Linked DNA regions of Stegostoma tigrinum. The protein of the gene in region 1 purifies or fractionates together with the protein of each later gene. This does not show direct contact. Links are inferred from orthologs where the notes say so. Each region holds a gene or a part of one and is shown in the gene's direction. Other genes may lie near its edges.

Region 1 (3,753 bases):
ACTCTGGGATGTAGATTATCAGGCCTGGGGATTTAACTGCCTTCAATCAGAGGGATTTTCCCAGCACCATTTCTCTGCTAATATTGACTTCCCTCAGCTCTTCCCTCTAACTAAATCTTGCCTTCTCCAACATTTCTGGTGTCTAATTTGTGTCGTAATTTCTGAAAACAGAACCAAAGTAGGTATTCAGTTGCTCAGCCATTTCTTTGTCCCCTATTATATATTCCCCTGTTTCTGTTTGTAGGGGGACCTACATTTGTTTTTATCAATCTCTTTCTCTTCAAGTACCTATAGAAACTCTTAATATCAATCTTTATGTTCCCTGCAAGCTTACTTTTGTATTGTATTTTCCCCTTTCTTAATCAATCCCTTGGTCCTTCTCTGCTAAATTCTAAACTGCTCCCATGCCTTAGATTTACTGTTATTCTTGGCCATTCTGTATGCTTCTTCCTTGGATTGGATACTATTTCATACTTCCTTTGTAAGGCATGGACTGGTCCACCCATTTTGCCTTTGTGACAGACAGGAATAAACAGTTATAAATAACTGAGATTTCCTCAATCTGGCACTGAGGATTCTGCAAATTACTTGTGACATCTTTTCTGATGCTTCTATCACTTAATAAATACATTATTAGCACTAATGTTTTTAGTTGAATATTACTTACTTCAGGATTGGCTACTTGACCTGCTGAAATTTTTGCGCCATGTAATTTTAGGTTTTTAATTCAGGTTTTCAGGTGCCACAGTACTTTGCTTCTATGTCTATGTCACTTCTGAGGAGGTGGGTAACACAATGTGGTTAATAGGGCAACAAAGTGTAAAGCTGGATGAACACACCAGGCCAAGCAGTATCTTCGGAGCACAAAAGCTGACGTTTCGGACCTAGATGGGCAGTTCTTCCTAATCCTATGGGTGACACAGTATCCTTTGATCATTAATATCCTTCTCTGGATGCCCTGAAGTGGTGTTGGGGGACCTTCTGAATGCATTGCTGTAGTCCTTGGGGTGATTTTGCTCCACCCATGATACAGGGTAGAAAATTTCAGAATTTTAACAGCGGTCTTGGAACATCGACAAATGCGAAATTAGTGGTGGATGGACTTGCACATACCGCCACGAGGTGTCCGATGCTAAATGTAACCATCACAGTGCACAGCTTGGTGGAAATATTCAAATGCTCAGCAGTGGGGAGATAATAAACGGAGGTAACATTTTAGGTTAACGACCTTTTGTTTGAACACCGAGTATTTCCAGCTTTTTCTGTTTTTGTATCAATGTTCTTTTCTGCTTCTGGATGATTTGTGTATTTGTTATTTTTCGAAGCCGGTTTTTGAGAGTGATGCTTTACTGAGAATGGGACACGCTGCTTCCTCAAGTGGTTCAATGCCTTGACAGCAGCTTCTGGAAACACATGGCAAAAGGCAACATCAATCGGTGCTCGTGCAGCGCGCGCGAACCCCCTTGGTGATCAGGCGGCGCGTCAGGCTCGTCGCCCCGGCTGTGTGCGTGCGCGGACGCCGCCCGTGCGCGCATGCGTTTCACCAACACTCCCAACCACAACCAAAAGCCCGGTCTGAGCGCGGGTGCTGCTCCGCGGCGAAGATGGCGGCGCTTGTTTCTCTCACTCAGGTACCGAGAATGATTCGGCTGCTGGGGTGTTGGTGAGGGAGGGAGAGCCTGGGGGACGGCGGCGGCGGCAGCAGCAGCAGAGGCTGAATCTTCTCCCCGCCGAGGCCCGAAGCCTCTGGAGCGGGGTTTCGTATAATTTCACTGTCAGTGAGAAGGGTAATGGAGAGACGCCTAGGCCGCGGCTGGGGTGAATCCGAGCGGATGAAGGTGGGCGACGGGTGGGAATACGAGGTGGTTGCGAGTCTGAATGGCAAGCCGAGGCTCCCAGCCAGCACCAGCTTTGCAGTAGTTCCAGGAGCCCGCTCCTTCCTCGTCTGTGAATGCAGAGCACGTCCCCTTATTTCCCTTCTCTTACTGTGGCTCGTGAGCATAGGGTCTCCCTCCAACTGCTGTTTGTTTACAGTCAGCCTGCAGTGTGGAGGCTTGGTGGGTCTGTGCTTGCTGCACTGTCTTTCAGTGTTCCAAGCAGAAGCCTGGCATCCCTTCCCTCACATATATAGACTTCCTTAGACATTGCGAAGGCTGGTGCCAGTGTTTGCATCGCCTTCTGTCACATTGGGGCATGGATCTAGAGTTTTCCTGCTGTCTTTCATTCCAGCGGACAGTGTAAGAAATCGAAGTTGTTTGAGAAATTGTTCATAGCCCGAAAGCGCAATGTAGAAGCTTTACAGGGTTTTATTTTCAGCCGACTCCTTTGACGTCTTTTCCTGAATGTGACAACTTGCTGGAATTTCACAGGCACCGTGAACCCCTGAAATGACTCTACTAGTGACCATCCTTCAGATTAGGAAACTGCGTTGGTGATTGTTGTGCTGTGTGACAGGGATGGGTTTTCAGAACTGAGCCTGACATCTATACAAAAAAATCCGCACAAAGTATAAACAACCAGCAGGGGTCACTGGACAATTGTGCGGATCAGGAAACTTGGCTAATGTTTCTTTTTCCTTTGCCTGGAATAATCCTAATAGCTCCATCATGAATATGATTGAGGTTAATTTAGCTTTTGAAGTTTCTGACCATATGTCAGGCAGACAGGCAGTTTGCTATAAGCATGAGACAGGCATTGTAGAGTAAGTACTAATTACAAGAAATATTAGCCCAAGCTAAACCTTCCAACAGTGGATTATGGTCTCAGATGTGCATTGTTCGACGTTGGCAGACGTCTTAAAGGCGATTGAGCATTGCTGCAGTTGGGTCTGTACCAAACAATATCGTTTGTATTTTGGCATTGTAGTGGTCTATGAGAGATTCTCTCTGGTAATATTACTTCGTGAGCTGGGAGCAGTTTTGAGCACAAGAATGTTGTTTCTCACATTTGATATGCAGGATTCACTGTGGAGCTGCAGTTTTGTATTGGTCATGTGGTGCTCTTATATTGATGTATATACACAGCGGCTTGAATTACGAGATGGTAGGTAATAAAGTGAAACTTCTGGATCTTTGGTTATATATCAGTGTTTGATAAAAGCAAATATTGGCAGAATCGGTTTAGGTCGCATTTGCAGGAAGAGAAGCAGTTAATGTTTTAGGCTAACAACCTTTTCAGTATTTACAACTTTTTCTGTTTTTTCCATTCTTGAGATGAGTGTGGGAGAAGCAATTTAGACCCGAATTATTGTTTTCCTGTCAACTAGGAGACTGATTTCCTTGGTGCTGAAGGCAACTTTGGTACATGAAAGATTTTTATACTTGCCGTACTAACTCAAATCATTCTTTCTGTCTGTCCGTGAGGTATATGCAGTTAGAGAGATACTTTTTTAAAATTAATTTTGTGAACTGATTATTTGCCCAGACTGTTGGATTCTGATTCATGTCTGCTGGACCTGGTTTACAAGCTGTGGCGACTTTATGTGTGTGGCTTTTTATTTTCATTGATATCGTCATGCCTATCTTCTGACATATATTACTTCAGATCTGGTGAAACCTTTGTCATTCACTGATGGAAAAGAATTAACAGACTTAACCAACTTGTAATGTTCTTGGTTCTAAGATAGTTGAAAGTTTGTTAGGGCTTGGCCCTGAATTTGTGTTCCATTCAAAGTTATGGAATGTTGTGAATTAAATATACTTGCTTCTGAGGACTACTTCTGAATGTGGAGTAACTTTTTTGTCAGTGCTTTGT
Region 2 (3,753 bases), on another chromosome or scaffold:
TGGAATTGAGAGGTCATGTTGTGGCTCTACAGGACATTGGTTTGACCACTTTTGGAGTATTGCATGCAATTCTGGTCTCTCTCCTGTAGAAAGAATGTTGTGAAACTTGGAAGGGTTCAGAAAATGCGTACGAGGATATAGCTAGGGTCAGAGTGTTTGAGCTATAGGGAGAAGTTGAATAGGCTGGGGCTATTTTTCCTGGAATGTCAGAGACTGAAGGGTGACAATATAAAGGCTTATGAAATCATGAGGTAAGTAGATAGGGTAAATAGGCAAGGTCTTTTCCTGGGATTGGGGGATTCCAAAGCTAGACCTCTAGAGGGCAGAGGTATAAAGTCACGTAGGAAAGATATAAAAGGGTCCTAAGGGGCAGCCTTTTCATGCAGAGACTGGTGTGTGTATGGAATGAGCTGCCAGAGGAACTGGTGGAGGCTGGTATGATTACAATATTTAACAGACATCTGAATGGGTATATAAATAGGAAGTTTAGAGGATGTGAGCCACATGCTGGCAAATGGGATTAGATTTATATAGGATGTCTGGTCAACATGGACGATTCTAGTTCTGTGCTGTATATCTCTATGACAACATTCAACTTCTCCCCAGAGCTCAAACCCTCCAGTCCTACCAACATCCTGGTAAATCATTTTTGCATCCTCTCACGTTCAACAACATCCTTCCTATATTTCAGTGTTTTGTAGTGAGGTTACAGTGATAAGGGGTGAGGTCATGGAGGGATTTGAAAACAGGATGCAAATTTTAAAATTCAACTTTTGCAAAACTGGGGACCAGTGTAGGCTGACCAGCAATGGGCATTATTCTTGAGTGGAAGTTCATGCAAGACAGGACAGAGGCATTAATGTTTTGGAATATCTCAAGATTATGAATTGTAGGTGGGGAGGTGATGGTTTAGTGGTATTATTGCTCAACCGTCAACCCAGAGAGCTAGGTAACGTTCTGGGGACCTGGGTTTGAATCCCACCATAGCAGATGGTGGTATTAGAATTCAATTAAAAAAATCTAGAATGGAGAGTCTAACGATGACCACGAATCCATTTTCGATTGTTGGGGATAAAAAAAACTCATCTGATTCACTGACGTCCTTTAGAGAAGGGAAGTGCCGGCATGTGACACCAGACCCAAGGCGATGTGGTTGACTCTCAACAGCCCTCTGAGCAATTAGGGCTGGGCAATGAATGGGGCAATAAATGAATGCCAGAAAAACAGCATGAGAGGCCAGCCAGAAGTCTCTCTCCCTGTCTCCTCCCTCTGTTTTCTTTCTATCTCCACACGCCTATTCTCTGTATCTCCTCCCATTGCCCCCAACCTCTCGTTATCTCCTCCCCAGCCCCGTCTCTCTCTCTCTGTCCCGCCCACCCCCATCTGTTTGTCTGTATCTCCTTCCCCCTCCTCCTGTTTCTGTGCTGAGTTCTCTTCCTGTCTCTCTGGTTGTCAGCGCCATGTTACTGTTCTGACCGCGGATCAGCAACAAGTCTCCGGAGGAGGGCCGGACAGGAGCCTGCGGGAAGAGGTGAGTGAGACTGGGCACCGGCGCCGGGCCGGAGGGGAGGCTGTGCAGGGAGACCCCGGGGCCGGAGGCTGCCTGCCCGGACACTCCAGGCCTCAGTTTCCCCCTCCCCCGGACGGACCGGACCGTCACCGTCCGGCAGGTGTCGGGGACAGTGACCGTCCTCGGGCCCGACGAAACCACTCCGTATGGCGGATTCCAGCCTTGGATCGTTATCTGGGGCTGGGAATTAAAGGGCAACGACTGGGGCTTGGTTTGTGTATGAACAAGAAATGGTTATTGTTTGGGGTGTACGGGAATAAGTTCAGGCTTGTCATTTCAGTCTGTTTTCTGTTTTGACATTCACAAACGGGCAGCTTGGTCACTCAAGTTCACCGCAGAATCGGCGAGGCTGGTCGTTTTCCCAGGCTGGCCAGTGGCTCAGTATCTTAACCAGCTGGTCAATTTCCTTACAGTATTGTACCTTACCAGATTAGTGAGGACTTAGTACCATTTAAACACTGATCGTACATGTTGAAATGCTACAGTCAGCATACATGAATATTTCAAAATTTGGTATATTTGTATTGATTTTTAGAAAATATGAGCATTCCTGGGCAACATTGTTAGGAAAATGCAGACAGGTTTCTTGGTCACGGATCTTGTTCCATCAGAACAGGATAATTATGAGCCCTGAATTCAAGTCCCACGTGCTACAGAAGTGTGTAATAACATCTCTGAACAGGTTGATTAAAAATATCTACATCTGTGGCCACAAGGGGTCCTGTGGCATTTGACAGTGTCCTTACCTCTGGGACAGAAGGTTCAAGTCCTGCCTGTCCTGGGGGTTTGTCACAACATGTCTGAACAGGATGATTAGAAATAACTACACCTGTGTCCTCAAAGATGGGATCAGACTTGGCTGTGATGCATCACCTGTCCTTTAAGATGTCCCTCCATCCATCCATCTGCAAGGTTGGCATGTAGTATGTGGTCACTCATTTTCTGGCCTTACATGTGATGGAATATCCCCTCGTGTTTTGCTGGAGGTTCCACCACGTGATGAAACTGGCAGTTTTTTGTCATATTAGAAAAGTTCGGACATTTGAAGTCAAGTACCTTGGCTTCAACTATATAGTTTAAAAGTACCTTTTGTTATTAAATACCCATTTCTCACTGTTTATAGTGTAGGAATTTAGAATCCAAGATAGAGAATTCTTAAGAGTGGGAGTAACCGGTCATATATATTGTATTATTAAATTAACTAACCCTGTGAACTGCAAAATTTCTCCCCCTGCTATTTTGTGTGGATTTTCCCAAGTGAAAACATGGAAAAAGTGTCAAATGCTAAAAAAGGCATTGCTGAGCCTTTATTTCTATTTTGAAGTAGCTTACAGTAAGGCTGCCAGCAGCAGTTTTTCTGTGAACAATCACGATATGGAATCAATACAAATTGTGTTTTGTGACGTAGACAATACCTGCCCAGTGGAGGAAGTCTTGTGACATCATGAATTGAAATTTTATTTTCAGTGGCTTAACATCCTGTTTCAAATCCTGAATCTGGCTGAGTTTGTAATATCAGATATTTCCCTATAACCATGATAACCTGAAAGAATGATCGCCATTGTTCAGTAAATTATATAGAGTTCTCTGTGACGGTGTAGAATTGACTTAATCCACTCAACTGTCGTGGCAGTAGGTTAGTTGGAGCTGTCTATGGCTGTTGAATCGTTGTGGGAGGGGCAGGGTTGGAATGCTGGTAAGTTTTCAAGTGCTACTGATTTGGATATTTTGAGTTGTTAAAGTACCAATTAATTGACTCGAATGAGATTTGTAATGTACTAATGAAATTAGGCCTGTAGGTGTCTGAAACTGTAAGTCTAAAGTTGAGCTTGTTTTCTTAAAAATCATGTAAAATCTGAAAATTAGCCTTTTAAAGTGACTTCAAAGCTATTATTTTTCAATAATAATAACATAGCACAAATTGCAATATAAAACTCGTGGATAGAGTAATGATTGGTATTGGCAGAACACAAGATAATTTTGGCTGGATGGCTGATTTGCGATGCACTGTGATGCCAACAGCATTGGTTCAGCTCCCACACTGGCTGACGTTACCGTGAGCAATTCTGCTTCTCGACCTCTCCCTTCATCTGAGACATGCTGACCCTCTGGTTAAATCACCACCAGTCGTCTCTCCCTACTGAGATAATCCTATTGCCTGGTAGGACGACAGCAACTTTATG
Region 3 (3,753 bases), on another chromosome or scaffold:
AAGTAGTCTAAAAAATTTTATTCCATTGACTGCTCTCAAAATACATGTACAAACCAAAAGACACCAGCAAAAATTCCCCCGAAATATTTCCAACGAAATAAATGCTGGGAGGCCAAAATCAGAGAGAAAGAGCAGGTTTAGAATACAAATTAAAGATCCACTCAATGGGAAGAAAAAGAGATTGTAGATGGAAACGTGAGAGATGAGAAAGAAAATAAAACATCTCCCTACCTTTGCTTTCTTTCCACAAGATGAGGCAAATAATAGACACAGGTTTGTTCCTGGGTCTATCTTAAAATTTATGGTCAGCAGACATCTTGTTTTCCTAAGGAATCACAGGACAGATTTGGAGGATAGGGAATGTATGTGGATTAAAGTAATGTGGTTTTTTTCCCCAAACCCTCTCTTTTGCTTTCTCTTTGCTCTCGTTCCTCTTGCAAATCTATGACCGGACAGAAATGGCGGATATTTCTTCCGTACTCGTTCCCTTCAACAACTTTTTCTCTTTGCTGCTGCTAGATTCCCCCCAGGAGTAGACATCGCCCATGATGCTTCTCAGGCCGCCATGGAGGCGCAGTGATTCGATGGGTCAGGTGATCTCTCCTCCTCCAAGAGACAAATATATTTTTCTTTCCTCCTCCTTCCCGATCGTCAAACAATTAGTCAAACATCAACAAAAATCCACCTCCGCACACACCATTCGATAGGCCCCGCCCGATTTTCACTCAAAATTGCCGCCTCAACTATCCCCCTCAAAATAATACTTTAAAAAACTGGCCTCACGACAATGAGTACATTTTTTCACCCCCTTCCCCCTCGCTCCTCCACCATCGTCGTTTGTTTTCCCAACCAAGCTTGATGATTTCATTTTTTTAAATCCCCGCCTACCCTCTCTAGGCTTCCATTGGGCAATCTCCAAGGAGACTCGGATTCCATTGGACATTGATCACGTCAATCAGGTTCGGCGTCCATCCAGCACGTTAGGTTGTAGGCCTCCGGCGGCTCTGAGGGTGGTGGTGGAGCTGAGGGATGTGGAAGGCGACAGCGCCGGATCGGAAGTTGGGTGTGACCGAGGGTGCCGGGAATTGTAGTCTCATCTCCCTAGCTGTATACAGCTTTTGCATTATTTAATTCACTCAGCATTACAATGAATTGTAATGCAATCGTATTCCTCGATTAGTGAGACATCTAAATGTCGATGAGTCACTGCTAGGCTTGATTAACATGGCTAGAATCAAGAGACAAACTTGAGAGTCATTTTCGTGACCTGGGACTTCGTTTGTGTTTTTATAGTAACATCTCCCGGTGAAAAATATTTCCTTAGCATTCCAAAAGGGACGCATTGTGATAGATTTGAATTGTGGTGTTATTGGGAAAGAGAGGAGGAAACGGCCGGGCGCGGATGGAAAGAACTACATTCCCCAGCGTGCCTTGGGTGAGGCTAGCGCATGTGCGGTGGTGGGCTGCGGGTTCTGACAGTCAGCGGTGACTGAAAGGGAGAAAAAAAAGTGTCCCCTCTGAAATAAAATATCATATGTCCCGGCAAAGGGAAAGAAATAAACTCCCATAAAACACAGCTTTTTATAAAAAGAAAACCACACCCAAAAAGCAGAGTCGTAATGGTAAGTAGTGATCTTTTTTTAATTTCCCCATTTCGAAATAGATTGAATGTAGGATGAGGCCTAACGTAAGCCCAGCGATGAAGGGTTTTCTGTAAATTATAAAAATAACGCAAATGAATTAACAAAAGGTGGGTAATTCTTCAAAAAGGCAAACCTTAGGATTGAAATGTTTGCTTTGGTATCTTACAGCCACAGAGTGAATACTTATCGTGAAATAGAGGCCTTGTCGCTTTTCCCTTGCTTAAAGCATCCACTGAGTGTTTTTATGTCGTAAAAGTCAAAAATGGTACAGGTATAATTGAGCTTTTGCATTTTCAAAGGAGCAGTTTTTTGAAGGTGGTAGCCATAATTGACAGGTTTCAACTATCAGGAAAAACTGAACAGGTTTGGGGCTGCTTTCTCCAGAGAAGAAAAAAAGCTTTGGACGACCTGGTAAGGTTCTTCATAAATGTGAAAGGTTTTGTCAGGGCAGATTTCGAGAAGATGGTTCTACATATTGCTCAGACCAGGTCACGTGGGCCATATGTAGATAAGGTGGTCACTGATAAATCCAACAGGAAAATGACTTGGCCCAGAGAGTGGTGAAAACGTTAAACTCACGTTTCTAAGGGTCACTGGACACAATTCAGATTTCTCTCCAGGGATGTTGCCAGACTTGCTGAGTTTTGCCAGCAGTTTCTGTTTGTGTCACTTTCATAAGGCATAGCTGAGAATAATTTAACTGAAGTTCATAAAAATGCGAGGACAAAAGGAATAGGACAATCTTTTGAGGGGGTTAGAGAAGAAAGGATTGAAGGAACCTTGGATGGAGTGTAAACCCGGGTATGGTCCTGTTAGGGTGAAAATGTTTTGATTTTACATTTGCTTTGTAAATCCGAAATGCATACCAAATGCTAGAAATGTGCATTAGGTTTTGTTTTTAGGGAACAAATTTATCTAACAGGTCCATGATAAAATTGATTTATTCTGAGTTTTTTTATTTTGGTTCTGATACTTTAGTTATGCTTCCATAAAATAAGGGAGGACATGCAAATTTGTTTCTTTCCCTCTCAATTTTATGGATCATCTTGAGAGAGCATCTGAAGAAGACCAGTTAGTGTTTTGGAACTGGACCATACCTCTAAATTTTAGGACCAAGAACTTGACTTCCTTTGGATCTGCATATGTTCAGGGTATCTCGCAAGAAATAAACTAAATTTAATGTTTCGGTAGGAAAAACTAATGATATTACGTGAAAAGTTCTAGTGTTTGCTATTTTCACAAAGAAGCAAGTAATTGAATTAACAACCAGTTAATAGATTTAGAAACAGTACAAAGATGTGTAAATTACTTTAAAGCATAGGCAAGGATACCTCAATTTAGGAGACAGATGCATAGAATTTGAAAGGTCAAAGGAATGACAGCAGCCACAGCAATTTATATTTCAAGAGAAAAGGGTGTTGATTGGATAGAAAGTGGATTCTGACAGTCAGGTGTTGCCATGAAGAAAGCAATGAAGATATGACAGGTTCCCTGATCTTACAGATAATTCAAAGGCGACACAAGCATTGAGCATATTCTTTTTGTTTGCAGAGGATGGGCCCCTGTATATATGAGAGTGTGCATTTGAGCTTCAAACTGATGAAGCATGTTGGCAACCTACATCTTCCTTGCTCTGTGACCAAATGTAGGAATTGTGTAGTTTTGCATTTCAGTAAAATATTTGATTTTCCTCTATCCCTAAGGAAAACATCCCCTCTGAGGAATTACCAGAGATCAACAAGCTACATCTGGGGAATTGTCAGACCTCTTACCTTCACAATTCCTTTGCATTCCTTGAAATGGCAAAGTAATCATGATTATAATCTTAAATTCTCTGTCAATGTGATGGGACCTAGGCAAAGGGTTTTTGTTATGTGGCTTACAGTTGATCTGTATGCATTGCGTCTTCTGTCCCATACCATATGTGCACTCAGTTGGAATATCTACATTGCTTTCAAATTATTGCCCTTGGATTTCTTCTCATTTCTGGGGCAATTCTGCATTTTCTTCCATCCAGTTACAAAAATTAAGAATAAATTGGGCTATGTCCTATTCCCAAGTTTTTTTCAAGTGGATGTGGTCAATCACTGTTTGATATATCTGGTACCTG

What was found.
Region 2: the proteins of eps15l1a (region 1) and intersectin-2-like purify together in Homo sapiens (affinity purification with mass spectrometry; 5 studies listed by BioGRID and IntAct, with this or other methods). This does not show direct contact. The link is inferred for Stegostoma tigrinum from reciprocal best matches to the Homo sapiens genes EPS15L1 and ITSN2.
Region 3: the proteins of eps15l1a (region 1) and ap2s1 purify together in Homo sapiens (affinity purification with mass spectrometry; 4 studies listed by BioGRID and IntAct, counting the BioPlex papers as one, with this or other methods). This does not show direct contact. The link is inferred for Stegostoma tigrinum from reciprocal best matches to the Homo sapiens genes EPS15L1 and AP2S1.

What each region holds. Positions count from the first base shown.
Region 1 is NC_081383.1:43,284,808-43,288,560, reverse strand, and holds the start of eps15l1a (epidermal growth factor receptor substrate 15-like 1), read left to right. Parts: upstream 1-1,543; 5' UTR 1,544-1,604; coding exon 1,605-1,631; intron 1,632-3,753.
Region 2 is NC_081357.1:74,094,442-74,098,194, forward strand, and holds the start of intersectin-2-like, read left to right. Parts: upstream 1-1,376; 5' UTR 1,377-1,531; intron 1,532-3,753.
Region 3 is NC_081392.1:11,812,170-11,815,922, forward strand, and holds the start of ap2s1 (AP-2 complex subunit sigma), read left to right. Parts: upstream 1-1,437; 5' UTR 1,438-1,619; coding exon 1,620-1,622; intron 1,623-3,753. UniProt on the Homo sapiens protein: Component of the adaptor protein complex 2 (AP-2). Adaptor protein complexes function in protein transport via transport vesicles in different membrane traffic pathways.